Macaca fascicularis: one gene and its partners. The protein of the gene in region 3 purifies or fractionates together with the protein of the main gene of each other region. This does not show direct contact. Links are inferred from orthologs where the notes say so. Each region holds a gene or a part of one and is shown on either strand. Other genes may lie near its edges.

Region 1 (3,500 bases), on a different chromosome or scaffold from region 3:
CTCCCACTTAGAAGCCCTGTCTTTAACCGCTCCCCAGGATGAGGTTTTTGCTGGCCACTAGTGACTTCTGGCTGGGTCTGATTAACTTTTTCCAGCTTTTGAACAGGAAGCCCCCAGTGGCTCTCAGCTGCCTTTATGTAATCCTTTGCTAGTCCCGTGGATTCTGATGCGGGACTGGAGGAAGCCTGACCATCATTCCTCCTCCTTGCTATCTCTGCAATCACTGAGTTACTAGATGTTTCCACAGTGTCTCTTCTGGTCTGTGATTTGCTCGTGATGCTGCTTTTTGTTTCAGTTCTTTTCACACTGAAACAAACAAAAATGATTTTATGGTTTGTGAAGCTGTCACGGCACAGTTTCCTCCAAATTCCCTCTACCACATTTCCTACACCTGGAAAAGGAGGCAGGCACTACCTGCCTTCTTGCCTCCCCAGCAAATCTGGAAACACCCCCCACAACAAGTGTATGTTTAAATGCAGATGGAATCAAGCAAAAACCTTCACATTTTCCATTATACTAGGATATACCTGCTTATCAATCATTGGGTTAAAAATGGATTTATGATGGTGTTCCCATTTTAACTAAGGCAAACAGGTATTCATTTCCGATGTTAAGGGTCAGTACTGCTTATATGCTGACTTTTTTTTTTTTTTTTTCCAGGAGTAGACTCAGGTTCTGTGAACACAAATGTACACATACACACAATTTCTACTTGTGAGTAAAGAATAATCTCCTGGAATTTCTCTCAGGCTATTTCAAGGTATTACCCAAATACAACCACCACTTAGCTGGTGTCATGTTTGTTGATCAAACTTGATCAACAAATGGGAGTAGGACTTAGTTAATATAATTTGAAATGTCCTGGAAGAAATTCCAGATAGCCAGCATGAAAGGCAATAAAATGCAATCGTGGAAGACAAAAGAGTGTCGATATAGCTGTATATAAGCCCCTTGCTTCTAACGGCATGCACAACAGACAATGTAACTTCACTCTGATGATAAAATGAACTTTGAGGGGCGGGATAGAAGTTGCACAGGGAGAATTAGAGACTACAGATCTTAACTTCAGCATATATTTACAGGTCTGTGAATGGCAAGAAATTTCCTCAACCACCAAAACATTGAAAGCTGAAATATTTATTTTGGCTAGCTTCAGCGTGAAAACAAATACATATAATACTCATGTTCTTACTGTTGACACCAGGAGTATGAGGATTATTGTAATTATATTAAAGTCGGAACAAGGATCTTAGGAAAGGAATGTATTTTTTAGATCTGTCTGTAGTCCCTCTGAAAGTGGTATGAAACACACCACCAACAGGTGCTTTTCATCTTCAAAGAACGTGTCATTAATTACTCCTTGCAACACACCTGTGAAGCAAGGACTCTATCCCTATTGTCCAGAAAGCAAGAGAGTCAGGAGGGAGGGGAGAGCAAGTACATGATGGAGGGGAGTTTGTGCTTCAGTTCCAGGCACTCTGTTTAATTCTGGACTTCATGTTATCTATCCATACATAGAGGCAGTCACAAATGAGAAAAAGGAAACACATTGCACCTACATTTCTTTCAGAGCATTTCTCCGGAGCTTTGCACTGGGAGGAAGTGAACTCTCTGCACACTCAGCAAAGTAATCAGACACTCCATGGAGAACTCTTTCTGTCTACTCCAAAAGATAACAAAGGTTCAACCAGAAATCTATTAGCTGAACATGAGAGAAAACAGTTACACTCTGAATGCCCAATGAACACATTTATTTTTGTAAAGACTGAATGAAACTGCTCAGTGGTAAGCTATTTTAACCTTTTTTACCTAGAACTTTATGGTTAATTGTAACTTCTTTTGGACTCCCAGTCTACATTTCAAACATTAATATGTGCCATAAACATACAAAACTGTAAGGCAAAGAATGCTGATTCCAAACCATCTGGGAAGTCTTGGCCAATATCTGGTAACTGTGAGGCCCAGGCTGTGACAAAAGCCCCAGAATCCTACTGTGTGGGGCAGCGTGCCTGTGAGCTCCGTTCTTCCAGCAAGACCTGGTGACACAGTGGTCTACACCCTTACCATCCTAAGAATTCCCCATATTTTCTCTATCTGCAAAAATAAAGAATATTTTGTGGCCGGGCGCGTTGGCTCACGCCTGTTATCCCAGCACTTTGGGAGGCTGAGGTGGGCGGATCACGAGGTCAGGAGATCGAGACCATCCTGGCTAACATGGTGAAACCCCGTCTCTACTAAAAATACAAAAAAAAAAAATTATCCAGGCGTGATGGTGGGCACCTGTACTCCCAGCTACTCAGGAGGCTGAGGCAGGAGAATGGCATGAACCCAGGAGGCGGAGCTTGCAGTGAGCTGAGATGGCGCCACTGAACTCCAGCCTGGGTAACAGGGTGAGACTCCGTCTAAAAAAAAAAAAAAAAAAAAAGTTGTAACACCCAAGACCGTAGCAATAGTCAAATATTTTAATATTGGTATTTTGAAAACTGGAGTTTGTGATTCTTGGCTACTAAAAAATTCGGGACTTTTTTCCTTATACTAACCACCACTCTGGTTTTATATAATTCATAGATTATCTGCCTATCTAGCCTTTTGTGTTCCCATGGAAGCATCATAAGGAAGTAATTATAAAATGTAAAAGCCTACCTACCTTGCCAACATTAACCCATTTCATAGTTTTGGAATCTCTTCTCCTTTTGGTTATCGAGTACATAATCCAGACGAGTATTAACTCCTCTCATTTTCTGAGACACTAAGTATTCTTCCCCATCAAATTCCAATAAAATGTTGCTACCACCAGAAACAGCTTTAGTAAACTGTCATTAGGTCCTTGCTTTAGAACGACACTGGAATTAGCAGTGACAGCCCCAGAGCACCTGGTGGGTGGCAGCCATGAGTACCACGCCTGGTTACCCTACAGGCTGAGGGGATGTGCTTTGCCTAATCACTGCCCTGCACCACTGAGGATGGGCTCTCCATGCTCTTCAGTTGTGCCTATCCATCTCAGACCTGGGCCAGTGTCATTCAAAGTCATATCTGGTTATAACCCAAGTGAGTTTTAAGCTAGTGAACAGAATATTCTATGTTTTATTGGATTATACTCCCTTTTTTTTGGTTTGTTTTCTAAGACTTACTAGTTGGCCAAAATGAGTGACATCTTAAAATTCAAATGAGAGAGAGAGAGAGAGAGAGAGAGAGAGGAATCGAGATTTATGTGTGAAACACTTCTAAACATGCCCTATAAGTACAGTAGAATCTCCCCTTACAACCACACCCTGTAAGTGCTGTATTTTCAGAGCTGAACAATTAACATAAGGAGCATGAGTCAGGCTTTGAACAACTCTGTGGGAACCAGAAAGCCTTTTGCTATTAGGAATGATGTAAATTCCCCAAGGCTGGAAGAAATCCACAATGCAAGGCAGACAGGGTCATAAATAACAACAATGAATACTGCATATGCCACATAAAGTATTATGCTGCGATAGTGACACTCTCTTCAAATC
Region 2 (3,500 bases), on a different chromosome or scaffold from region 3:
GGATGGGCGGCCCCTGCAAGCCAGGGCACCTTGGAGCAGGCTGTGCTTCTTGGGGTCCTCAGCAAAGAGGGGGCCGAGACAGGCGGCCAGGGCGGCGAAGTCATCGGAACCCTTGTAGTCCTGCAGGGCCTGGGTGAAGGTGGCAAAGTTGGCTTGGCTCAGTTCCTGCTTCACAGCCACCATGAAGAGCTTGGCCCTGTCCATCTGTGCACCAGCCACGGGCTCCTCCTGCAGCACACAGGCCCGAGGCTCCATCAGGGCCAGCCTCATCATCCCATCCCTGCAGCTGCAGAGCCTTCCTTGGAGCATTGGGTGTTCCCCGGGACAGTGATTGCTGAGCGGGGGCTGCTGCCTGAGAAACTGGTTGGCTGGATGGACACGGAGGTGCTGCGGGAGGAAAGCTGCGGGGCTGGGCCTGTCTGGGTCACACAGTGAGAGGCTGGCAGGGAACCGAGGGCAGCGAATGGGCAAAGGGTAGACTGGCTCTCCCTCAAGCTGGGGGTCCTCTCTCCTCCTCCCTAAAGCCCCCACCCCACAGCGGACACAGCTGAGGCTCCAGGATGGCAGATCATAGGGAGGGGCTTCCCAAGAAGCGGTGTTCATCTCTCCACACACCCCAGACCAACACGGAAACGTGGAAACCAAGGCAGGGGCAGCCCCGGCACTCCCCACCCAGGCCCTCAACAGCCCAGGCCCCTCGGCAGCCGCCCACTTCCTGATGGCACCAGCCCTGCCTGGGCACCACCCAGTTCTTCCCAGAAGCCAAGGGACATGGACAAAGGCTGCCACACTTGGGGCTTTCCAGCAGGCAGGGGGCTTCCTGGCTCCGACTATAACTCGGTTCTTTCATCCAAGGCTGGGAATGGGCTGCGCCCCTCGAATGAGGCAGGTGCACGTCCACACTTGAGGGAAATGCCAGGGCCAAACCCAGTGCTGCAGCCCCCAAACCAAGCCTGCCTAAGGGCGGGGCCTGATCCCAGCTGCCCTTGAGCCCTTGGGCCGACAGCTTCACAGCCGCCCTGGACATCAGCTCCCGGGGGTAACTTCCCTGGTCCCATCGGGCCCACATCCCAACTTGGCTGGGGGCACCCAGGGCCGGGTTCCCACACGTGTCTATGGTGGTCGGCACAGGTGCAGGGACAGCTCACGCACCAGGTGGCTGACCAGCCGGATCTTCTTCCTCCCTCCTCGCAGCTCCTCTGCCGGCCTCTTCTCAGCCAGGAGGGACAGGGTGGAGCAGCTGTGGGCCTGAGGAGGACACAGCTGTGGTTCCAACCACACACTCCAGGGCCCCAAAGCACCTGGGCCCACAGGGAAGATGGCCCCAAGGAGCCCTGAGCAGTAGCCAAGACGAAGGTCGGGGGAGGGGCGCGGCACACCCTGGTGACAGTCCCACAACTTGGTCCTGTCCAAGTCACGCCAGCGGCTCATGAGGCTCACAGGTGGTGACACGTAAGAGCAGGTCCAGGAAGGACAGTCCGACCACAGCGAGGGGCTGGCAGGAAGGGGACACAGGTGTCTGGTGCCTGCACCCGGGGCTCACTCCAGGAGCCTGAAGGGCAGGGACAGGCAGCAAGAGAACGGCCCCCAGCAGGAAGCAGGGAGAAAGCTGAGAAATTATGGGCTTCTGGGGCAAAAGGCCCCAAGGAGGAAGGAACCTGGGTCCCAACCGCAGCACATTCCTGGAGAAAGGCCAGCCTCAGGCACAGCCAGGGGCAGGGGCACCCGACCTTGAGTGCCCTGAGCCAAGCTGACCTGCCAGAGAATCAAAGTGATGTGGGGGCACTCGCTGAGGGCCAGGGCATGCACCACCTGGGAGCCAGCAGCCTGTGGGTGAGGCGAGGTGGAGGGCACACACACAGCCAGGCAGCCGGGATCCCTCACCTGCCTGCCCACCCCACAGGCAGGGGATTTACAGGGGTGTGTGGGGAGGTGCCTGAAGTCAGATGGGCGGGGTGGGGTTGGCCTCAGGAGACAGAGGGTCTGTGTCCATCCCAAGGCCCTGGAACTGCACCTGCTCCTCGCCAAGGTCCCCGGCCCGCTGTTCACTGTGCTCCAGGGCGGCCAGCAGCCCCCTGGGCCTCTGCCGGGCAGGAACTGGCTCCTGCTCATACTCCACACACAGGCTACTCTCGGGGTCCCCGGCAGCTGGTGATCCTGCAGAGTACCCGAGTGCGCAGTGAAGCCCACCGTGGGGCCCCAGCTGGGGGTCCCTGCCTATGACGGAGCCCCTCCTGAGGGAGGGTCCCAGCATTTGGGGGCCCCTGCCTGTGGGTGTCCTCCCTGCTATTAGGGGGAGTCCCAGCCTTGGGGCGCGTCTTTGCCTGAGGCCTTCTCTGCCTGTAGGGGAGGGTTCCAGCCCGTGGGAACCCCACCCTAGGAGGCAGACACAGCCTTTGGAGGTGGGAGGGGCAGTGCATAAAGCCAGGTGAGCCGCCTCCACCCTGGGCGCCTGGTGCCGCCCGCCCCACACCACCTGCCCCGCTGCCCGCCCCGCCCGCCCCACACTGCCCGTCCCGCACTGGCCATCTGCACCTGAGGACCTCTGCTTCAGGCTGGGGACATGCAGGTCCAGACTCTTAGCTTTCCTGGTGGAGAGGAGGGGGTCAGGCGACTTGGCCTCCCTGACAGCATCTTCTCCTTCACGCAAACTGGGTGCTGCAGCCCGGGGGGCCGGTGCTGGCATCTGCAGAACCACTGGGGGTGGGTGGGCCCATTTCTGGCTCCTCTGGGGACAACACCCTCATCCCCTCCCTGGGCAGAAACTCACAGTTCGCTCGGCAACACGGAAGAACTGGGCCACGTCTCGGATGACGTGGCCGAAGTTGTCGTACACCCTGACGTGAGGACGCACCCAGGAGGGCAGCTGGGCTCTGGCATCAGCAAAGGCGAACCTGGGGGGTGGCCACAGCCCTGCTGCCCTGCCCACAGCCGCTTCAGGGGGTCAGTTCACCCAAGTGAAGACCCTCATCTGCCGCAGGGGCCTCAGGCTGACCCCGAGTCGCCAGAGAGGCTCTGGGGTAGACGGGGCCTCATGTGGGGAAGGAGTCCAGGGCCCAGTGGGATGTGGCCGTGTCCCCTGGCGCCACGCCTGCCCCCGGACTGCACGCACCTGTGGTCACAGAGGAAGACAGCCCCGTAGTCCTGGCGGTGCCGGATCACTCGCCCAATGGCCTGGTTCACCGCCCTGGACGCCTGCTGCCGGTACCACTCCTGCCCAGAGAGGAACTGGAGGGCGAGGAGGCTCAGTCACAGGGGCTCCCGTGGTCACAGGGGGGCTCAGTCGCCAGATTGCCTTACCCCAGCCCCGCCCTGCTGTAACTCACCTGGCCCCCAGCCCCACCCTGGCCCTTCATCTCGTCCAGGAACTGCATCTTGAGGACAACCCGGGGGTCCATGCGGGGGGGGTACGGGAGGCCCGTGACGATCACACCACGGCCATTCGTGTCTGAGAAATCCAACCCCTCGCTGGCCTGGGGGACACACCAGGGAGCTGCCTG
Region 3 (3,500 bases):
TCTCGAACTCCTGACCTCAGGTGATCTGCCCACCTTGACCTCCCCCAAAGTGCTGCGATTATAGGTGTGAGCTACTGCGCCTGGCCCATAAAAAGCTTTTTTAAATAGAAAAAGCCCTGAGTGCACACAGCAATATTTGGCTTGGTTTTCTTCCTTTTCGTTGACTCACCTGGACACTGGCAGGCTGCTGCTCCCCTCAGGCTGTGCTGTCTGCAGCCGGACGGCCTGCAGCAGGAGCTGGGGGCCAACCTCCATCTTCACAGCACACTGCTTCAAGTGGCTGGCTCTGTTCTTTAAGGTCAGAAATGGTTTCCCACAAATCGGGCACTCAGGGATCTGAGGCACGGAAGGTCTTAGTGCCTTTTCAGCTTCATCCAGGCACCTGAAGGAAGACAGTTAATACAGGAGAACCACCCTCCCCGGGAATGTGGATTGGAGCACATGTGGGTCTAGGTCATCATGGATGTGCTGTGGTCAAAGCAAGTTCCCCAAAGCTAATCCCTCCACACAGCCTGACTCCGTCTCCTGGCAGTCAGCCCCTAGACACTACACTTAGGTATCTGTTAGCAAAGCTGGCTAAATAAAGCAAGGAAAGATTAAATGCAGTTACATGATAACTTAGAAATTCCACTCCTAAGTATAGACCCCCAAGAACTGAAAGCAGGTACCCAAACAAATACATGAAACCCATGTTCACGGCAGCTCTATCCACAATCCCAAAGAGTAGAAATGCTCCAAATGTCAGTCAATGGATGAAAGGATAAACCACGGTCATATTCCTCATCTAAGAATGGGAAAAAAACACAGTCTATCCATACAATGAGATACTACTCAGCCACAAAAAGGAATGAAGCCTGTCCCATGCTACAACATGGATGAACCTCAAAAACAACATATTCAGTCAAAGAAGGCAGACACAAAAGGACAACTGTGCAATTTCAGAATCGGCAAATCCATCCAGACAGAAAGTTGATTAGTGGTTGTCAGGGGAGAGAGGGGCAATAGGGAGTGGCTGCTAATGGGTGTGGAGATTCTTTTGGCGGTGATGAAAATAATCCAAAGTGATTGTGGTGACAGTTGCACAACTGTGTGAATAAATGGGTGAACTATATGTTCTGTGAATTATATCTCAACAAAGTTATTTTTTAAAAAGGGGTAGGTTGACAACAAAGCTGAGGTGCTATTTTCACAGTAAGGTGTGGAGATCCCCACTCCAGCCCTGGGGTGCCCGGGGATTCTGGTCACGTACACGGGAGAGGTGATGGCCCACGCTGCCCCCACCTGTTTACATGCTGTTCCCTTCGGGTCACGTTCATGGCTGACAGGTTCTTTTGACAAATCTGGCAGAAGAACAACCCTTTTTCCTCCAGGCTATCATCATGTGCCGATGCTCCTACCCGTGCAAACTCCTGCTGCAGGGTCAAGGCCACCGCAGCGTCGCTCTCTGGGGCAGGGGGCCCAAGCCCAAACACTGTGGAGAAGCACCAAAGATCCGTGAGGATCAACTCCAAAGACAAGCTCACCCTCAGACCTCTGCTCTGTCGGCTCTTGCAGACCATGGGGAGCAGGGGGAGCACAAATAAACCAGAACCCAGCTCCACTCTGTAGACCGGTGACTCAGGCACTGTCCAGTGAGACTGGGCACTAGTCAGCACTTCTGCAACAGCCATCTCCAACTTTAACATGCATATGCATTGCCTGGGAAGCTTGTCGACACTCGGATTCAAGTTCAGGGGGTCCAGGTGCAGCCTGAGACTCTCCGCCTTCCTAGCAGCCCCCAGGCTTGGCGATGCTGGCACCGCAGGACCACTCTGAGTAGCAAGGACCTACACTTCCCCACTTCTGCTGAAGTCAGCTACCTTGGGCATTGCAGGTTCACAAGGCTCATATTCCAACAAAGCTAGATGTTCTCTTCGAAGCTCAACCTTTCCTGCTGACCTTTTACTGCCCGTGATAAAACCAGGGCAGAGTGAAATGCCCTTGGCGGTTAAAAAGCAGCATCTCTTACTTAGCATCAGACGCAAGAATGGACTGATTCTGGTCTTGAGATGGCTCCCAGGGTGGCCCATCTGGTATTGCTGGAGCAGACCCCTGTCACTCACAAGGGATACGCCCTGAACGCCTCATAAACCCCCAAGTTTTTGATGGCTGTGGCCTACCAGTGCCTGCCACTGAGGCCAGCAAAACAGCACACCTTCATTTTGGTGCCCTGTTTTGTTTGGTCGTCTTCTTTTTTTTTTTTTTCCTGAGACAGTCTTACACTCTGTCCCCAAGCTGGAGTGCATCGATGCGATCTCAGCTCACTGCAACCTCCGCTTCCCACGTCCCAGTGATTCTCCTGCCTCAGTCTCCTCAGTAGCTGGGATTACAGGTGCACACCACCACACCTGGCTAATTTTTAGTAGAGACGGGGTTTTACCATATTGGCCAGGGTGGTCCTGAATTCCTGACCTCAGGTGATTTGCCTGCCTTGGCTTCCCAAAGTGCTGGGATTACAGGTGTGAACCACCACATCCAGCCTGGTTTGGTTTCTTAACAAAGAAATGGTTTATCTCTTTCTGAGAGCTTGCTGGGTGTGATGTGAAGATACAGAGAGAACTGAGTCAAATGCTGGGCAGGGGCGGAGCTCACACCAGCTGGGTGCCTCCTCTATACCTCACATGTGCATCCAGGACTGATGCCTCGGCAGGACATCAAATCACTGCCTGCTGTGGACCCTGGGGCGGCCTGAGACTCATCGGTGTTACTGAAGTGAAATCTGCAATGCAATGCCAAGAGCCTGCATACTTATTAGCTCTAGGTCCGCCAATAATAGTTTCTTCCTATTTCTTTTCCCTTTGTAAATTTTCATCAGAAATGAGAATCCATATTGTTTCAGGGATGGAGAACAGAAGCACCTGGCATTATTATGCTTATGGAGCTGGTGCTACACCAAGTGCACAGCAGCTATGGGGCACTGTCTCCACACGCTGTCACCTGGAGCCAATGAGCCTCTAATCCACTCAGAGTGGGGCAACCCGGGGCAACCCAAGGGTTAGAGGAAGGAGTTAAAGGATCCCATAAAGAAATAAACAAATCCAGAGAGTGGGAAATCTTATAATACAATTAGCCTAGCCTCTTCAAAAACTCAGTTTTTGTCATGGGGCTGGGTGCAATGGTTCACACCTCTAATCCTAGCACTTTTGGAGGCTGAGGAGGGCAGATCGCCTGAGCTCAGGAGTTCAAGACCAGCCTGGGCAACATGGCGAAACCCCGTTTCTACTAAAAATACAAAAAAATTAGCCGCGTGTGGTGGTGGGTGCCTGTAATCCCAGCTACTCAGGAGGCCGAGGCACGAGAATAGCTTGAACCCGGGAGGCCGAGGTTGCAGTGGGCCGAGATCGCGCCACTACACTCCAGCCAAGGCTCTGTCAAAAAAAAAAAAAAAAAAAAGTCAATGTCATGGAAAACAAAAGAAAACAAAGGGACTATTCTAGAATCTAGACCTTAGGAGACTGCTG
Region 4 (4,109 bases), on a different chromosome or scaffold from region 3:
AGTCAAAAGTATGGAGAAACAGGATGGCTTACAAAACAATCTAATAAAACCAGTCATCTGTTTAAAAAAAAAAAAGCTTAATACTGGGGTCTTAGGAAGAATTTGTCTCCAAGGTCTGTATTTTATAGGAACCAATAAATAAATTAGAAATTTCTTCATTAGATATAAATGAAGAAAATGTTTTTCATGGCCCCTTTTGGTATGTATCAGTTCTAGATAAGATGTATATTAAATCATAGTTCTGTGAAGAAACTTCTATGAGAACCACTTTATAAAGTAACATAATGCAGCTGGGCGCAGTGGCTCATGCCTGTAATCCTAGCACTTCAGAAGGCCGAGGAGGGCGGACCGCGTGAGCTCAGGCGTTCGAGACCAGCCTGGGCAAGACGGTGAAACCCCATCTATACTAAAATACAAAAAATTAGCCGGGTGTGGCCGTATGCGCCTGTAGTCCCAGCAGTCTCAGGCAGGAGAACTGCTTGAACCAAGGAGGCGGAGATTGCAGGGAGCCTGCAGGGAGCCCAGATCTCATCACTGCACTCCAGCCTGGGCAACAGAGCAAGTCCTCCACACCCCCCCCCAAAAAATAATAAAATAAAAAATAACATAATGCAAGAACAGTGATTTCAGGTGATACCTTTCCCATTTAGTTTATTCTAGGTTTTTATAAATGTATGTTTTGTTGCCCTACAGGACTGTAAATTCCTCAAGGCTTATGTTGTCTGCTTCCATTTCAACTGCCTTTACTATTTAGTAGAGTGCTTTACAGTTGCTACTCAACTATAACTGATAAAATGTTATGCAGTCAATATTTGTAATATTAGCTTTCCCCGCTACACTATAAATTCCATGAGAACAGTGACAGTGAGTTTTGATCGCGACTATATCCCTCCAAATCTAGAAGATCACTCTATAAGTATTCGCTGATTGAACGGATTAAATAAAGAAAACACAACGAAAAAGTATGAAAGGAGAGAAATAATTTAAATGGCAGTAACTTTGGGTTCTAAGGTTGTTCTCAATAAGAGCTAGAAGACCTCAGGTAAGTTACTTAACATTTGATTGTCAATGCTTTCATCTGTAAAATAGAAAAATTAACAGATATTTCAGATTTAAATGTTTTTAATATATATATAAAGCATTTAACACAATACCTGAAAAAGAACTCAATAAATGTTAATTCCTTTACTTTCTCTTACATCTCATCTATCCATAAAACAGTGCCTTCCAGGAATATATTATTTCAGTAAAAATACAACAGTAATCATTCTTACTTTCCTTTGAAAAATTAAATTTTCATCTCTTTAATCTTTAAAAAGGAGGGAAAAATAACTTGTGGACTGCTTTCAAAATATTACAAATGCAAAAGCTAGTTAAGAAAAAAACAGTGTCGAGAATGAGCCTTGTTGGTGGCACCCGCCTGTAGTTCCAGGTAATGGGGGGGATGCCTTGAGGCCAGGAGTTCCAGATCAGCCAGGGAAACAAAGCTAGACTCCATCTCTTAAGAAAAAAAAAACAGGAGGGGGGAAATCACCTTATCTACTAATAGAGATTTTTAAGCAACCGTTTATTTAAGAAAAAACGGTGAAATTCAAGTTAATATTACTTGAGAGTACCCGTTTCAGAAAAAAAAAATACTCTGCATTGCTGGGTGTGGTTGCCCGAGACTAGTCCCAGCTACTTGGGAGGCCAAGGCAGGAGGCCAGTTTGAGCTCAGGAGTTGGGAGTACAGCCTGGGCAATATAGCGAGACCCCATCTCTTTAAAACACAAAAATTCGGCAATCGTTTGTTCCGAGTTGAAACCTTAAAAACGAAATATTTTGAACGCTTTCACTTAAAAGTGGAACATGACCCAATCCCAAAAACATTACTTCATGACGACTCCCTTGACTCCAGTCATCCTTCAGTTTTATCCTCCAGTTGTGAGCTTAATCTGATACCTAGCTGTTTCCCTCGCATCGCCACTTTAACACGCGGTGTGCAGACCAAGTTCTGTCATTCCTGTAATTACCACACCCCCAATCAGCCGCTACAGGCCCCTGTTGTTATGACATCTGTAAACTGCAGCCGGTCGTCTCCACCTCCCCGCGCCCCCGCCCCGCTTCCCCTACCTCCCTCCGGGCCGCCGGCTCCGACCCGGGCTGTAACTTGTGAATTCCCAAGACGGTCCCTTCTTGCCAGGGTTAGAAATTTTACACGCCACCCCTGCTCCTTCCTGCCTCTGTCAGAGCGCTCTGCACGGCCCACCCCCGCCTCCCGCCCGCCGCCCAGCCACGGCGCAGGCTCCGCGCTCGCCTCCTCTCCGCCCGCTGCCTCGGCACTCCGCAGTCCCCGGCGCCGCTTACAGCCCTGCCGCCGCGCCACGCCGCCCCGCCCCGCCTCGACCGGCGTTCCCGATGGCGATCACACCAGGGCTCCCCACCCCCACCCTCTCCTCCGCCGGCCGCGCGGCCGTTAGGACAGCAGGGCCCGTGACGCACGGACGCGGGCCGAGCGTCCGGGCCCAGGCACCGCGGCTCGAGGCCCGGCCGGCGCCCGCCCTCGCCCCAGGGCCTCCCCCGAGTCCCTCCCGGACTGCCCGGATCTGCCGGCGGGAGGGGGAGGGGCCGAGGCCGCAAAGCCCCCGCACTCACCAGGCTCAAGGCAACCGATCCCGGTGCCACCGCTGAAGTGAGCCCTCGCTCGCCCGCCCGCCGTGCCGCTCCCCGCGCACAACCTCGAAGAGCTGGCCCGCGCCTCGGCGGTGCTCAGCAGGCCTCGCTCTCCGCCGCCGCGCACCTAGCAGCAAGACTCAGCTCTGCCGGCGTTCGCAGTGCGCCTGCGTGCGGGGGCCGGCCCGAGCGCCTACGCGCGCCCCTCCGGCGCTTGCCGCAGAGGCTGCCGGGAGACGTAGTCTTGTAACGCTCTCTCGCCGCACGTTCCTAGCGATTCTCGCCCAGCCTGCGAAGAGTCGGGGATCGGGGAGAGGAGAGGGTCTCGCTAAGAAGGAGGTTTGCAGACCATAACAAAGGTTGGAGAAAGTTATATGTGCAAACCTGTCTTTGCTAAGCTCTTCCAGGGCGGATCGATGTTCACCTCTGTATAGCTTCTAACAAAGTAGGTAACTAATACGCGTTGATGGAATGAATGATGGAATGATTGAAGACTGAGGGAGTATTACAAAATTAGTAGGTCAGCGCCTCGTGTCTAAAGGGCTCACGTGCAGCATGAATGCAAGAAGCTTCTGGACATTCCTTTTTTAGTTATGTCCCATCCCCTTTGCTTGATAATGTATGAGTAGTATCAAAAATAATTAAGTGCCGGGTGCAGTGGCTCACACCTGTAATCCCAGCACCTTGGGAGGCCTAGGCCGGTGGAATACTTGAGACCAGGAGTTTGAGACTAGCCTGGGCAACATCGCGAAACCCCGTCTCTACTAAAAATACAAAAATTAGCCGGGGGTGGTGACGGGCGCCTGAAGTTCCAGCTACTGGGGAGGCTGAGGTGGGAGAATCACCTGAGCCCGGAGTTGACGATGAGGCTGCAGTGAGCCGAGATCGCACCACTACACTCCAGCCTGGGCAACCGGAGTGAGACCCTGCCTCAATAATAATAATAATAATAATAATAATTAAGAAACTACATGAAACACAAATACTCGTTTTACTCTCAAGTGCTCTCAAACGAAAACTTGGAGCAAATGATTGTTAATGTTAAATTTGATGGAATTCTTTGGGGGAGCAAATGGAGTAGTGGCTTCAAAAGAAAAACTGAAGCCAGCCTAGCAGGGGTCACAGAATAGTAGATAGATTTAAAACATATGCCAAGAAGCAAGGTAAAAGAGATGAGGTAGATTAGTACATTTATAAATGTCCCAGGGAAGAGGAGAAGACAGAGGACCACTCTACCTGAATCCTAGGTTATGCAATGTTCATTTGTCCTGGACTTCACTCTGCTGCATCAGCATTCTCCCGCGATGTGTTTACTAAGATCAGAGTTGAGTTTGAGCAATGTGGCTGGGGAAAGGGAAGGTGTGTTCACCAGGAGAGACTTGAGGGCAAGTTTGCCTGACCCCAGCTAGACTGAAGACAGATCACCTTATTCCAATAAGGAGGTAAGATTGATTATT
Region 5 (2,964 bases), on a different chromosome or scaffold from region 3:
GGGTTCAAGCGATCCACCCACCTTGGCCTCCCAAAGTGGTAGGATTACAGGCATGAGCCACCGTGCCTGGCCTGCAATTTTTTTTTTTTTTTCCTTTGAGATGGAGTTTTATTCTTGTTGCCTAGGCTGGAGTGCAATGGATCTCAGCTCACCGCAACCTCCACCTCCCAGGTTCAAGCGATTCTCCTGCCGCAGCCTCCCAAGTAGCTGGGATTACAGGTATGTGCCACCACACCCGGCTAATTTTTTGTATTTTTAGTAGAGACAGGGTTTCTCCATGTTGGTCAGGCTGGTTTCAAACTCCTGACCTCAGGTGATCCGCCTGCCTCAGCCTTCCAAAGTGCTGGGATCACAGGCGTGAGCCACCGCACCCAGCACCCAGCCCCCTGCAATTCATTTTTTAAGTTAAGTTACATAAATGTTTTGTTGCTTCAACAGAAGAATAGATGCCAGGGTGCTCTTTTTAAAAATTCATCTATGTAAACACATCTTAATACTAATTTGAGTCACTACTTTTATTCTTTATTATCACATTTTCCAAGTTTTGGCACCCAAACTTGGCAAACATCATGGAGATTTGTACAAACATACATATACATATATACACACACATTTATAGCCCCAGCTTCTTCACTAAACCTTGTGCTCAGGCTCCTGTTAAAAGAGGTAAAATGGTGAGAAGATAAAAATCAGGGAAAACATGAATAAATGCTGATTGACAAATCTTGTTGTTATGAATTTGTAAGGCAGACTTTCTAAAGCAAAATCCATCACCTTGCTAAAATTTCCACTAAGCTATAGCTTCAGATATTTACAAGAAAAATAAATACCTTCTAACATACTTCAATGTGGTTTAACAGCAAGCTAGCTGAGGAGCTGTACTTTGTTGTTATTTCAGGTAACTTTTTATTAAGAAACAGTTAATATTGCAGTGATTAAAATTTCAGGTGTTCAAAACTCAAGAAGGGTCATCATTATACTCTGAGGCAGAAGTCTTCAGGCACTCATCCTTAAACTACGACCCAAATCCGCCACAGTGACATTCAGGCTTTCAATTTTTAAAAACATTTAATGTTTGGTAACTAAAGAGTAGATGCGATTAGTGTACTCTAGGTCGTTTCATTTTATTTTTTTCTGTAGGAGCTTTCCTCTTTTGTGATAATCCAGTCCCAAGTTCCTTATTATTCTGAAGAAATGAAATAGCTTCTGGTAGACAGTAATTTTCTACATGAGGAGGTGATTCCTATAAAAGGAAAAATAAATGATTTTTTTAAATGATTTCAAAAATTTGCATGATCCAGTAATAGATTTTTTTCTTTAAATCTCCAACCTGTCAGGGATGAATCTGACAAACGTCAAGGAAAATGCATATTCATTCCTAGGTTCCAGTAAATTAAACAAAATGAAGCCTGTGGGACAAAGCCCCAGCTGTTGTCAGAGAAATACATGTATCGCTCAGGTAGAGTGCGGCTAGCTCAGATCTTACAAACATTCCATATTGGTGTTTTTAATCCCCATTTTAGAGATAAAATAAAAAAGGTTAAATAAAACAACCAGTGTCACATAACTAGCAGGTAGTAAAGCCAAAATTCATAACCGATCTGACTCCAAAACCCTTGCATTTTTCAACCACAACCATTTCCCAACATAGAAGAAATGGATCTTTTCCCCCTTATTATAAGTGTAATAAAACTTAATTTTCTAGCAATATGGCAGACTGGGCAACCTGAAAATGAATCACCACAAAATACTAAGTAAGTGCCTTTTGATTCAATTATTCCATGGATAACAACTACAAACACTGACCAAAATATACTAAAAGCAACCACAGACCCTGGAGAATAAACAAACCTAGCAAATGTGGGGCTGGGGACGCAAACACAGTGTATGAAGTAAACTCCCTGTTAAACAACACAGTACTCTTTGGAGGAGCAGAAGAACAGAATCTAGAGTTTCTTTTTTGTGGGGAGATAGGGGTCTTGCTGTGTTGCACAGGCTGGTCTCAAACTCCTGAGCTGAAGCAATCCTCCTGTCTCAGCCTCCCAAGTAGCTAGGACTACAGGAGTACCACCATGCCGGACTTGAATCTAAAGTTTCTACGACTTATTCATGACGTCCAGAATATATCCAAAATTAAGCAATTGCTTTGTAAAGAAGCAAAACATGACCCATTCTTAAGAAAAAATGAATCATTCAAATAAACAGAAATACTTAGGCATAAGCTTAAAAAAAACATATATAGGATCTATATACTGAAAATTACAAAATGTTTATGAAAAATTAAAGACCATCTAAATTAATAGAAAGAAATGTCATGTTCATGGAAGACTCAATGTGGTAAAGATGCTGATTCAAAATGATCTGTAAGTTTAATGAAATTCCTATCAAAATTGCAACAAGGTTTTTATAGACATACATAAGCTTATTTTAAAATTTACATGAAAAGATACAGGCAAAAAAAAAGCTGCTACAATAGCTAAAACAATCTTGAAAGAGGAATAAAGTGGAAGGAATCACCAGCTGATATTGGAGTTTATGTAGTTATCAAGATAGGGCAGTACTAGAGAGGGACAGACACACACATGGATCAATGGAATTGAAAAGAGAACCCAGAAACAGACTCACACAAATATGACCAAATGAATTTTTTTTTTTTTGAGATGGAGTCTCGCTCTTGTTGCCCAGGCTAGAATGCAATGGTGCAATCTTAGCTCACTGCAACCTCAGCCTCCTGGGTTCAAGCAATTCTCCTGCCTCAACCTCCTGAGTAGCTGGGCCTACAGGCATGCGCCACCATGCCTAGATAATTTTTGTCTTTTTAGTAGAGATGGGGTTTTGCCCTGTTGGCCAGGCTGGTCTGGAACTCCTGACCTCAAGTTATCCACTGAGCTGCACCGGGCCAAATCAACTGAATTTTGACAAAGGTGCAAAAGCAACTCAGTGAAGAAAAGACAGTTTTCTGAA
Region 6 (4,062 bases), on a different chromosome or scaffold from region 3:
TTCACCAGATGAGGCTCTGGAACTTTACAGCGTGGACACCAGACTCAAGAGGAAACACGCTGTCTTCTAGCACCTTCCTGTAGTTGCTCATGCCTTCTGTCTGTACGAGTCTTTCCCAGCCCACAAGGCCCAATTCACTTCTCCCCAGACATGGCAAGCAAATACAGAACACCTGCTTAAAAGAGAAAGGCTGGGCTCAGTTCCTGGTTCTACTTCAAGTTTTTTTTTTTTGAGACAGAGTCTCCCTCTGTCGCCCAGGCTGGAGTGCAGTGGCACAATCTGGGCTCACTGCAGCCTCCACCTCCTGGGTTCTAGTGATTCTCCTGCCTCAGCCTCCTGAGTAGCTGGGACTACAGGTGTGTGCCACCATGCCTGGTTAATTTTTTTGTATTTTTAGTAAACACAGACTTTCACCATGTTGGCCAGGCTGGTCTCGAACTCCTGACCTCAAGTGATCCGCCCGCCTCAGCCTCTCAAAAAGTGCTGGGATTACAGGTGTGAGCCACTGCACCCAACCTACTTCAAGTTCTTTAACCTTAATCTCTTTCCTTAAAAAGGCCTAAGAAATTCAGAATATTTTACTGATTTTTAAAAAAGAATTTAATGGGCTGGGCATGGTGGCTCATGCCTGTAATCCCAGCACTTTGAGAGGCCGAGGTGGGTGGATCACCTGAGGTCGGGAGTTCAAGACCAGCCTGACCGACATGGAGAAACCCCGTCTCTACTAAAAACATAAAATTAGATGGCGTGGTGGTGCACGCCTGTAGTCCCAGCTACTCGGGAGGCTGAGGCAGGAGCATCGCTTGAACTCAGGAGGCGGAGGTTGCAGTGAGCCAAGATTGCGCCATTGCATTCCAGCCTGGGCAACAAGAGCGAAAATCCATCTCAAACAAAAAAGAAGAAAAGAAAGAAAAAGAATGTAACTCCCATCTAATCATGAGAAAATCTTCAGACAAATCTCAACTGAGGAACCTTCTATAAAACCCCTGACCAGGATGCGTCAAACAGTGATGATCATCGAAACAAGTCTGAGAAATTATCACCACCAAAACGTGCCTGAGGAGGCATGAAGATTGCTTGTCATGTGGGATCCTAGAACAGAACAGCAGGTAAAAGCTGAGAAAATCTCAGTGAAACATGAACCTTAGTAATAATGTATGGGTTACGGCTCATTAATTTTGATATATATACCACGCTTAGTGTATGATGCTAATAATAGAGGAAATAAGGTTAACAAAAGAAAAAAAAGTAATATAAAGTACTTAACACAACCACAGTAGTAAGTATAATTCTGTGCCCCTTTCTCAGAATACTGAGTATAAGGAGCAGTTAGGACTGGGCAAACCATCCTTGCCTCGAGAGCAGTCCTGGCCGACAGAAACAGAATGCCAGCAACATGTGAAAATTATAAATTTTCTAACGGCAACATTAAAAAGAAACAGGTGAATTTCGATCATACTTTTAATTCAATATGCTAAAAATACTATTTCAACACATAACCAATGTTAAAAACCTGCACTTTTTTTTTTTTCCTTTGAGACAGGCTCTGTTGCTTAGGCCAGAGTGAAGTGGCGGGATCTCGGCTCACACTGCAGCCTGGGACCCCTGGACTCAAGGGATCCTCCTGCCTCAGCCTCCCGAGTAGCTGGGACCACATGCGCGCGCCACCTCGCTCGGCTAACTTATTTTGTAATTTTTGTAGACATGGGGGTCTTCCTATGTTGCCCAGGCTGGTTTCAACTTCCTGGGCTCAAGCGATCCTCCGGCCTCGGCCTCCCAAACGCCCGGATTACAGGCGTGAGCTACTGCACCCGGCCCTGCTTAAGTTTATTTATTTTTGCTTGTTTGTTTTTGTTTTTTTGAGACGGAGTCTCACTCTGTCGCCCAGACTGGAGTGCAGTGGCGGGATCTCGGCTCACTGCAAGCTCCACCTCCCGGGTTCACGCCATTCTCCTGCCTCAGCCTCCCGAGTAGCTGGGACTACAGGCGCCGCCACCGCACCCGGCTAATTTTTTTGTATTTTAGTAGAGACGGGGTTTCACCGTGTTAGCCAGGATGGTCTCCATCTCCTGACCTCGTGATCCGCCTGTCTCGGCCTCCCAAAGTGCTGGGATTACAGGCGTGAGCCACTGCGCCCGGCCTGCTTAAGTTTAAATTGACGTAAACTAAGCATTCCCTTCAGGAATCACACGGGCCATATTTCAAACGCTCATTAACCGCACGCGGCTGGCGGGCGCCCTCCTGCAAACGCCCCTGGAGGAGGCCCGGCTTCCACCCCAGCCTCGCCCCGGCCCGCGCTCCGGCGACGGCACCCAGGACGGACTCGCAGGGGCGGAGAGAAGGGCGACGATGAGGCGGAGCTCGGCCCACAGAAGCCGGCGGGAAGGGCCCGCCGCCCCCAGAACCCTCAGCGCAGAGCGGCCCCGGAAGGCGGTTCCTTCGCCGGGGGAAGCGGACGGCGACCCCAGATCCCGACTCGATCGCAACCTTGAACCTGGTCCCGATCCCGATCCCAACGGTAACACCGGCCCTGACCCCCATCCCGACCCCAGGCCCGACCAGCCCCGCGCGCACCTGTCCCAGTTGGGGTCCCAGACGCCGGGGCCCGGCCGCGCGCCCCCCGCCCAGGCCGGCGGCTCAGCCGGGCGTGGCTCCGTGTCCCCGCCCGCGCGCGGCTTCCCTACCGCCACGGCCGAGAAGAGCACGGCGGCCGAGCCCCCTGCCAGCCCGCAGGCCGCCAGCTGCAGCGCCTGCCGGAACGCCATGCCGCCCGCTCCCGCGCCGGCCCGCGCAGGCGCCCACAGCCCCGACGGCGCTCCGCGAGGGACACGCTTCCGCGGGAGGCCGCTTCCGGGAAGCGGGGACGGAAGTCCCGCCTCCTGGGGCGCGGCGGGGCGCTGGGCAGCCTTCAGCGAAGGGGTGTTTTCGCGGAGCCGCCTGCCCCGTCACTCTTCCGTCCCGTCACTGGTGCTCGCGAACGCCGGTGCGCGCAGGTGCGGGCGGAGCTGTGGAGACGCCGGGAGGGCGGTGCGGTGCTTTCCAGAAGGTTCCGCACCGGAAGCCCTGCCCAGGCTCGAGGCTGGGTGCGGGGCGGAGACTCGGAGGAGAACTTGGGGCCCTGGTTTAAGGGAGCTGGGAAACCGCGGCAGGTTTGTTTAAAGGATATGTTTTTGGTGGCAGAACCCGAAATAAATTTTTCCGCCGGCGCCGTTCCTGCGTGTGCGGTTCAAGCGGCGTGAAGTGCGTTCAGGTTCGGCCGGGCTGTTACTTCTGGTCCCGGCCTCCTGCGGGATAGTCCCTCTGTGGCCGGCGCATTTCGCTTAGCAGGGTCCTCAGAGGAACCTCGTTAGAGCCTGGGTTTCCTTCCAGGGGGACCGGCGCTCCCCGTGTGGACCGACCCCACTGCTTACCCATTGCTGGACGCCTGTGTGGACCGACCCCACCGCTTACCCATTGCTGGACGCCTGTGTGGACCGACCCCACCGCTTACCCATTGCTGGACGCTTGCCCTGTCTCAAAAAAAATTAATAACATAAAAAAAGGAAAATTGGGCCCGGCGCAGTGGCTCACACCTGTAATCCCAGCACTTTGGGAGGCCAAGGTGGGCGGATCACCTGAGGTCAGGAGTTCGAGACCAGCCTGACCAACATGGTGAAACTCCCTCACTACTGAAAATACAAAAAAATTAGCCTGGCATGGTGGTGCGCGCTTGTATTCCCCGCTACTCAGGAACCTGAGGTAGGATAATCGCTTGAACCCGGGAGGGAGAGGTTGTAGTGAGCCAGGATCGTGCCTCTGTACTCCAGTCTGGGTGACAGAGTGAGACTCTGAAAAAAACAAAACAAAAAAATTGGCCAGGTTCAGTGGTTCATGTTCGTAATCCCAGCACTTTGGGAAGCTGAGGCGGGTGGATCACCCGAGGTCAGGAATTTGAAACCAGCCTGGCCAACATGGTGAAACCCCGTCTCTACTAAATACAAAAATTAGCCAGGCCTGTAATCCCAGCACTTTGGGAGGCCGAGACGGGCGGATCACGAGGTCGGGAGATCGAGACCATCCTGG
Region 7 (4,034 bases), about 18 Mb from region 3:
CTAGGCCCCAAACAAGAAAGGTAATACCTGAAAAGGCCCAAGCCTCTGCCTGCCACCAACCGCTGCTGATGGTCTCAATCCAGACAGACCACTAGCACGTCATCCTTCCATCTGTAACTCCTGGCCTAATTTCCCCCACCATGCTAATGTTCATCAATGTTTAAGACCTTATTGTGCACGGGAACTACCAAGGGACCTTGTTAAAAAATCCAGATTCTGACCCAGTCAGTAATCTGGGTCCTGAGATTCCGCATACAGGTTCCCAAATGATGGTGATGCTGCCCTGTGGACCACTCTAGCAAAGGACTAGAGTAAGGTTGTGGAGACGACTTCTCCTCCTCCTTCTCCTCCCCCTCCTCCTCCCCCATGTCCTAGGCTGCAGAAATCCAACAGGATACACCAGTGACAGGGAAAGATATGGCAGTTAGGCTTTGTTTGGGGGTAACCTGTCCCCTGCAGTAGGTTTGCTGTAAAGCAGGCCGAAAGGTCCACAGAAAAGGTCAGCCAGGTAGGATGTCCCAAAGTTGCCCCTGCTGAGACCAGGTAGATCCAGAGATAACTCCCAACTTACATGATACACCCAATAGACCACACATCCACCTCGAAACTGTGCCCTTTCTTGCTCAGCACCTCGGGAGCTATGTAATTAGGAGTCCCGCACAGGGTCTTCTTCCTCTCCCCGTCATATTCGACTTTGGTTGCCAGTCCAAAATCCCCTGGGACAGAGGGAGGAAGAGCGGGTACTTAGATGCCAGCCTCTGCCATCTGTCAATGCAGAAGGCTAGTTAAGGTTTGACCATCAAGAACCAGGGCCATTTGATCCCACAAGCTTCTGCTCCTTGTACGCAGCAAGGCTTGCCCAGGAATCTTCCCGCCATGCTGACACCAGGGAGGTGCCTCCAGTGACCCTTCTCACCCCTCCCCTTAGAAAGGGGCTATACTTCGAAACGGGAACTGGCAGGGATAGCAAAACTCCAGTGCCTTCAAGGATCAAGCAAGTTAACCTCCAAGACTTGGCAAGTCTGTGAAGAAGTAATAGGGAGGAGTAGAGACTGTGGCAAACAAGTCTGAAGGGGACAGCTGCTTTCCAGCCCAGCAAAGGACTGCCCTAAGAAAATGCTGTCCTCGTATTACTGGAGCTTTCATGACTGTTTAAAAGGAGCTCTAAATCAAAATTTTTATGTCAAACCTTCCAATTTAAAAAATAAAAACAAATTCAAATTCTTTGTAAAAAAAGAAAAATGCTGTATTGGGGCACAAAAAATAATGCATCTGTAGGCAAGATACTGACTTGTGGGTTCTTTGTTTGAAATTTCTGGACTAAAGAGAGAATTCTAGAGGCAATCAACAGCCCAAACTTCCCACCATCCTCTTCCTTCCTCCTGGTCTCCTTCCTTTCTCCCAGCCTCCTCCAAATTCCAGCCTCTTGGAGTGATGTCAAGCACCCCTGCAGGCTCAGCAACTCACCTATTTTCACCTCCAGATCTTCATTCAGGAAAAGGTTGCCCAGCTTGAGGTCTCGGTGAATAACTCGGTTTCGGTGCAGGTACTGACAGCCAAGCACAATTTGCCTTAGGTAGTATCGGGCCTCAGGCTCAGTCAGGGCTTTCCTCCTCTTGTGCAGCTCCAGGAGAGACTGTGGATGGGAAGGAGAGGGCAGGAGGGATGGGGAGGTGGTATTGAGGCCGGTGGGGAAGGGAGAGGGTTACCAGGCAAAGGAAGCACAGGACTGGACTCTGGACTCCCAAAGGATGAAAGAGGGGTCTTGGTGGGTTTCTCTCCTTCCCTATGCCCCCACCCCATTCCTTCTCCAGGACAACTGGCATCTGGACCCTGCCTTAACACTGTCCACAACCATTCACAGCACCCCTTCTCCTACTAGCTTTCTCCCTTACCTGGGGGTCCTCTCTCAGCCCCACTCCGGAAGTCCCCAGCAGCAGATCCCTTTCCTGACTCTTATCTCCCTCGGAAGGCCCGAAGTCTAGCTCCAACTACCCCCTCACTGACCCAGCTACACTCCGGAAGCTCCCAGTGCCCGGCATCACTAACCTGGGACTCCTCCCTGGCCACTCCAGGGCCCTAGCGTCCATTACCAGCAGCCCTCCCCCCAAGTACCTCGCGTCCAGAAGCTGACCTCCCTATCAGCAACATGACTCAGACTCCACTTCACTGGAACCCCGTCCTCTAGCAGCTCCAAGAGCCAAGAAGCCCTTACCAAAGGCACTTTCCATACCTAAGAGGGAGGCTCCCAGCACCCTTCTCTACCAGCTCCAAGTCCCAGGTACTCCCTTCCTGGGCACTCTTTCCAGCAGCTCCAGGTCTGGGCGCTCCAACTGCCCCGCAGGCAGTTCCAGTTAACCAGCAGCGACACTCACCCTCCGGCGGCAGAGCTCCAACACCACGAACACGAAGTCGTTGTCCTCGAAAAAGCCGTGGAATCCTACGACGTGCTGGTGGGCGAGGCTGCGGTGAATGGATATTTCCATGGACATCTTCTCCCTCTGGTGCGGCTTAAGCAGCAGAGACTTAGGCACAATCTTGCCCGCGAACACCTCCTTGGTGTCCGCGTCCGAGATCTCGAAGCACTTGGCAAAGCCACCCTTGCCCAAAAAGCGGCCCCGCACATAGCGCCGCCGGCTGCGTGGGTCCACTAGGACCTCCGGGATCTCTTTCGCCGGTGGAGCCGCCGCCGGAGCTCCAGGAGCTGCAACTCCGGGGACCCCGGCTTTCCCAGAGTCGGCCGGTGCCCGTGCCAGCTTCCCTGCAGTCACTGCCGCACTCATGCTCCTGGAGCTGCTCTGCTGACCTGGATCCGAGCAGACGCTCCGCACCGCTCAGCTCCTCCCCGAATTCAAACGCGGCGCTGGGAACGTTACAAAAGCCTGCGCGCCACTGATTGGCCGCGGGGATTTAAAATCCAAACCCGCCCGCCGCGCGGCACCATGGGAGCGCCCTGCGCAGCAGCTGCCTTTAAACCCGGACCCAGCCGGGGAAAAACTTGATTGACAGGGACGCCCGAACACGTGGGATAGCCTGGGAAACCAAATCCGGCGTGGATGCGGAGACCCAGCCCCGAGAGGGGAGGAATTCCTTCGGGGTTTCTCCCTTTCTCGGGCGTCCGGGAAAGCTCCTGCAGTTCGCTTGCGCCTCCTCCAGGAAGCTTTTCCTTAAATCTTCCTCCACTTCCACCCCACCTAGAATATAAGCAATCTAAGAGTAGGGAACTGGCATGCCAGCAGGTCGTTTAAGAAAGCCTTAGCATCCGCCTCCCGATGCCGTCAGCTCTCAGCCAAGCCACCCGAACTGAACTAAAATCTAAGTAAAAGTGTGCTTGCCAAACATACCTTCATGGCTAGTCTGCTCCTTCAAATAACTGCCGCTTCTGAGCTCCTCCGGATTACAAAGCAACGCTGCTTAAAGAAGGGGCCATGGAACAGCAGCATCGCCATCACCTGAGAGCTTGTTAGAACCGCAAAGGCAAACATTCAGGCCCTACTCCAGACCTCCCGAGTCAGTGTCCGCCTCTCAACAAGACTGCTCAGGTGATTCCTACACATCCTGAAGTTGGAGAAGCACAGTACCAGAGTCCTCCATGATGCAAGGAAGCTGTCTGGCCTGCTCGCTACTGAATTTCCCAGGGCCTAAAATAGTGGACACTCAGTTTCTTGGTCAGAGGGACGGAAGGTTGGAAGAATGCCTAGCAAACTGGCAGGTCATAGCCAAATGTGTCTTGCAGGGTTTTGTTTGGCCTCCCACGTGTGTGTGTGTGTGTGTGTGACGGAGTCTTGCTCTGACTGGAGTGCAGTGGCACAGATATCGGCTCACTGCAACCTCTGCTTCCTGGGTTCAAGCAGTCCTCCCGCCTCACTGCAACCTCTGCTTCCTGGGTTCAAGCAGTCCTCCCGCCTCAGCCTCTCAAGTAGCTGGAATTACAAGCGTGCACCACCATGCCCGGCTAATTTTTGTAATTTTAGTAGAGAAGAGGTTTCACCATGTTGGCCAGGCGGGTCTTGAACTCCTGACCTCAAGTGATC

The links.
Region 1: the proteins of SLX4 (region 3) and SLX4IP purify together in Homo sapiens (affinity purification with mass spectrometry; 6 studies listed by BioGRID and IntAct, with this or other methods). This does not show direct contact. The link is inferred for Macaca fascicularis from reciprocal best matches to the Homo sapiens genes SLX4 and SLX4IP.
Region 2: the proteins of SLX4 (region 3) and RTEL1 purify together in Homo sapiens (affinity purification with mass spectrometry; 3 studies listed by BioGRID, with this or other methods). This does not show direct contact. The link is inferred for Macaca fascicularis from reciprocal best matches to the Homo sapiens genes SLX4 and RTEL1.
Region 4: the proteins of SLX4 (region 3) and KPNA1 purify together in Homo sapiens (co-immunoprecipitation; 3 studies listed by BioGRID and IntAct, with this or other methods). This does not show direct contact. The link is inferred for Macaca fascicularis from reciprocal best matches to the Homo sapiens genes SLX4 and KPNA1.
Region 5: the proteins of SLX4 (region 3) and TOPBP1 purify together in Homo sapiens (affinity purification with mass spectrometry; 3 studies listed by BioGRID, with this or other methods). This does not show direct contact. The link is inferred for Macaca fascicularis from reciprocal best matches to the Homo sapiens genes SLX4 and TOPBP1.
Region 6: the proteins of SLX4 (region 3) and PGAM5 purify together in Homo sapiens (affinity purification with mass spectrometry; 4 studies listed by BioGRID and IntAct, with this or other methods). This does not show direct contact. The link is inferred for Macaca fascicularis from reciprocal best matches to the Homo sapiens genes SLX4 and PGAM5.
Region 7: the proteins of SLX4 (region 3) and PLK1 purify together in Homo sapiens (affinity purification with mass spectrometry; 9 studies listed by BioGRID and IntAct, with this or other methods). This does not show direct contact. The link is inferred for Macaca fascicularis from reciprocal best matches to the Homo sapiens genes SLX4 and PLK1.

Annotation. Positions count from the first base shown.
Region 1 is NC_088384.1:76,731,123-76,734,622, forward strand, and holds part of SLX4IP (protein SLX4IP), read right to left. Parts: intron 1,703-3,500; exon of another isoform or gene 1,661-1,702; coding exon 1,560-1,660; intron 307-1,559; coding exon 1-306.
Region 2 is NC_088384.1:119,806,597-119,810,096, reverse strand, and holds part of RTEL1 (regulator of telomere elongation helicase 1), read right to left. Parts: intron 3,474-3,500; coding exon 3,327-3,473; intron 3,229-3,326; coding exon 3,113-3,228; intron 2,895-3,112; coding exon 2,771-2,894; intron 2,698-2,770; exon of another isoform or gene 2,687-2,697; coding exon 2,536-2,686; intron 2,158-2,535; coding exon 2,015-2,157; intron 1,496-2,014; exon of another isoform or gene 1,249-1,495; coding exon 1,153-1,248; intron 229-1,152; coding exon 30-228; intron 1-29. UniProt on the Homo sapiens protein: A probable ATP-dependent DNA helicase implicated in telomere-length regulation, DNA repair and the maintenance of genomic stability. Acts as an anti-recombinase to counteract toxic recombination and limit crossover during meiosis.
Region 3 is NC_088394.1:4,381,211-4,384,710, forward strand, and holds part of SLX4 (structure-specific endonuclease subunit SLX4), read right to left. Parts: intron 1,472-3,500; coding exon 1,282-1,471; intron 383-1,281; coding exon 170-382; intron 1-169. UniProt on the Homo sapiens protein: Regulatory subunit that interacts with and increases the activity of different structure-specific endonucleases.
Region 4 is NC_088376.1:160,731,501-160,735,609, reverse strand, and holds the start of KPNA1 (importin subunit alpha-5), read right to left. Parts: upstream 2,801-4,109; 5' UTR 2,635-2,800; intron 1-2,634. UniProt on the Homo sapiens protein: Functions in nuclear protein import as an adapter protein for nuclear receptor KPNB1. Binds specifically and directly to substrates containing either a simple or bipartite NLS motif.
Region 5 is NC_088376.1:36,524,103-36,527,066, forward strand, and holds the end of TOPBP1 (DNA topoisomerase 2-binding protein 1), read right to left. Parts: intron 1,244-2,964; coding exon 1,100-1,243; 3' UTR 501-1,099; downstream 1-500. UniProt on the Homo sapiens protein: Scaffold protein that acts as a key protein-protein adapter in DNA replication and DNA repair. Composed of multiple BRCT domains, which specifically recognize and bind phosphorylated proteins, bringing proteins together into functional combinations.
Region 6 is NC_088385.1:139,826,190-139,830,251, reverse strand, and holds the start of PGAM5 (serine/threonine-protein phosphatase PGAM5, mitochondrial), read right to left. Parts: upstream 2,801-4,062; 5' UTR 2,766-2,800; coding exon 2,575-2,765; intron 1-2,574. UniProt on the Homo sapiens protein: Mitochondrial serine/threonine phosphatase that dephosphorylates various substrates and thus plays a role in different biological processes including cellular senescence or mitophagy. Modulates cellular senescence by regulating mitochondrial dynamics.
Region 7 is NC_088394.1:22,747,202-22,751,235, reverse strand, and holds the start of PLK1 (serine/threonine-protein kinase PLK1), read right to left. Parts: upstream 2,801-4,034; 5' UTR 2,784-2,800; coding exon 2,376-2,783; intron 1,637-2,375; coding exon 1,468-1,636; intron 717-1,467; coding exon 572-716; intron 1-571. UniProt on the Homo sapiens protein: Serine/threonine-protein kinase that performs several important functions throughout M phase of the cell cycle, including the regulation of centrosome maturation and spindle assembly, the removal of cohesins from chromosome arms, the inactivation of anaphase-promoting complex/cyclosome (APC/C) inhibitors, and the regulation of mitotic exit and cytokinesis.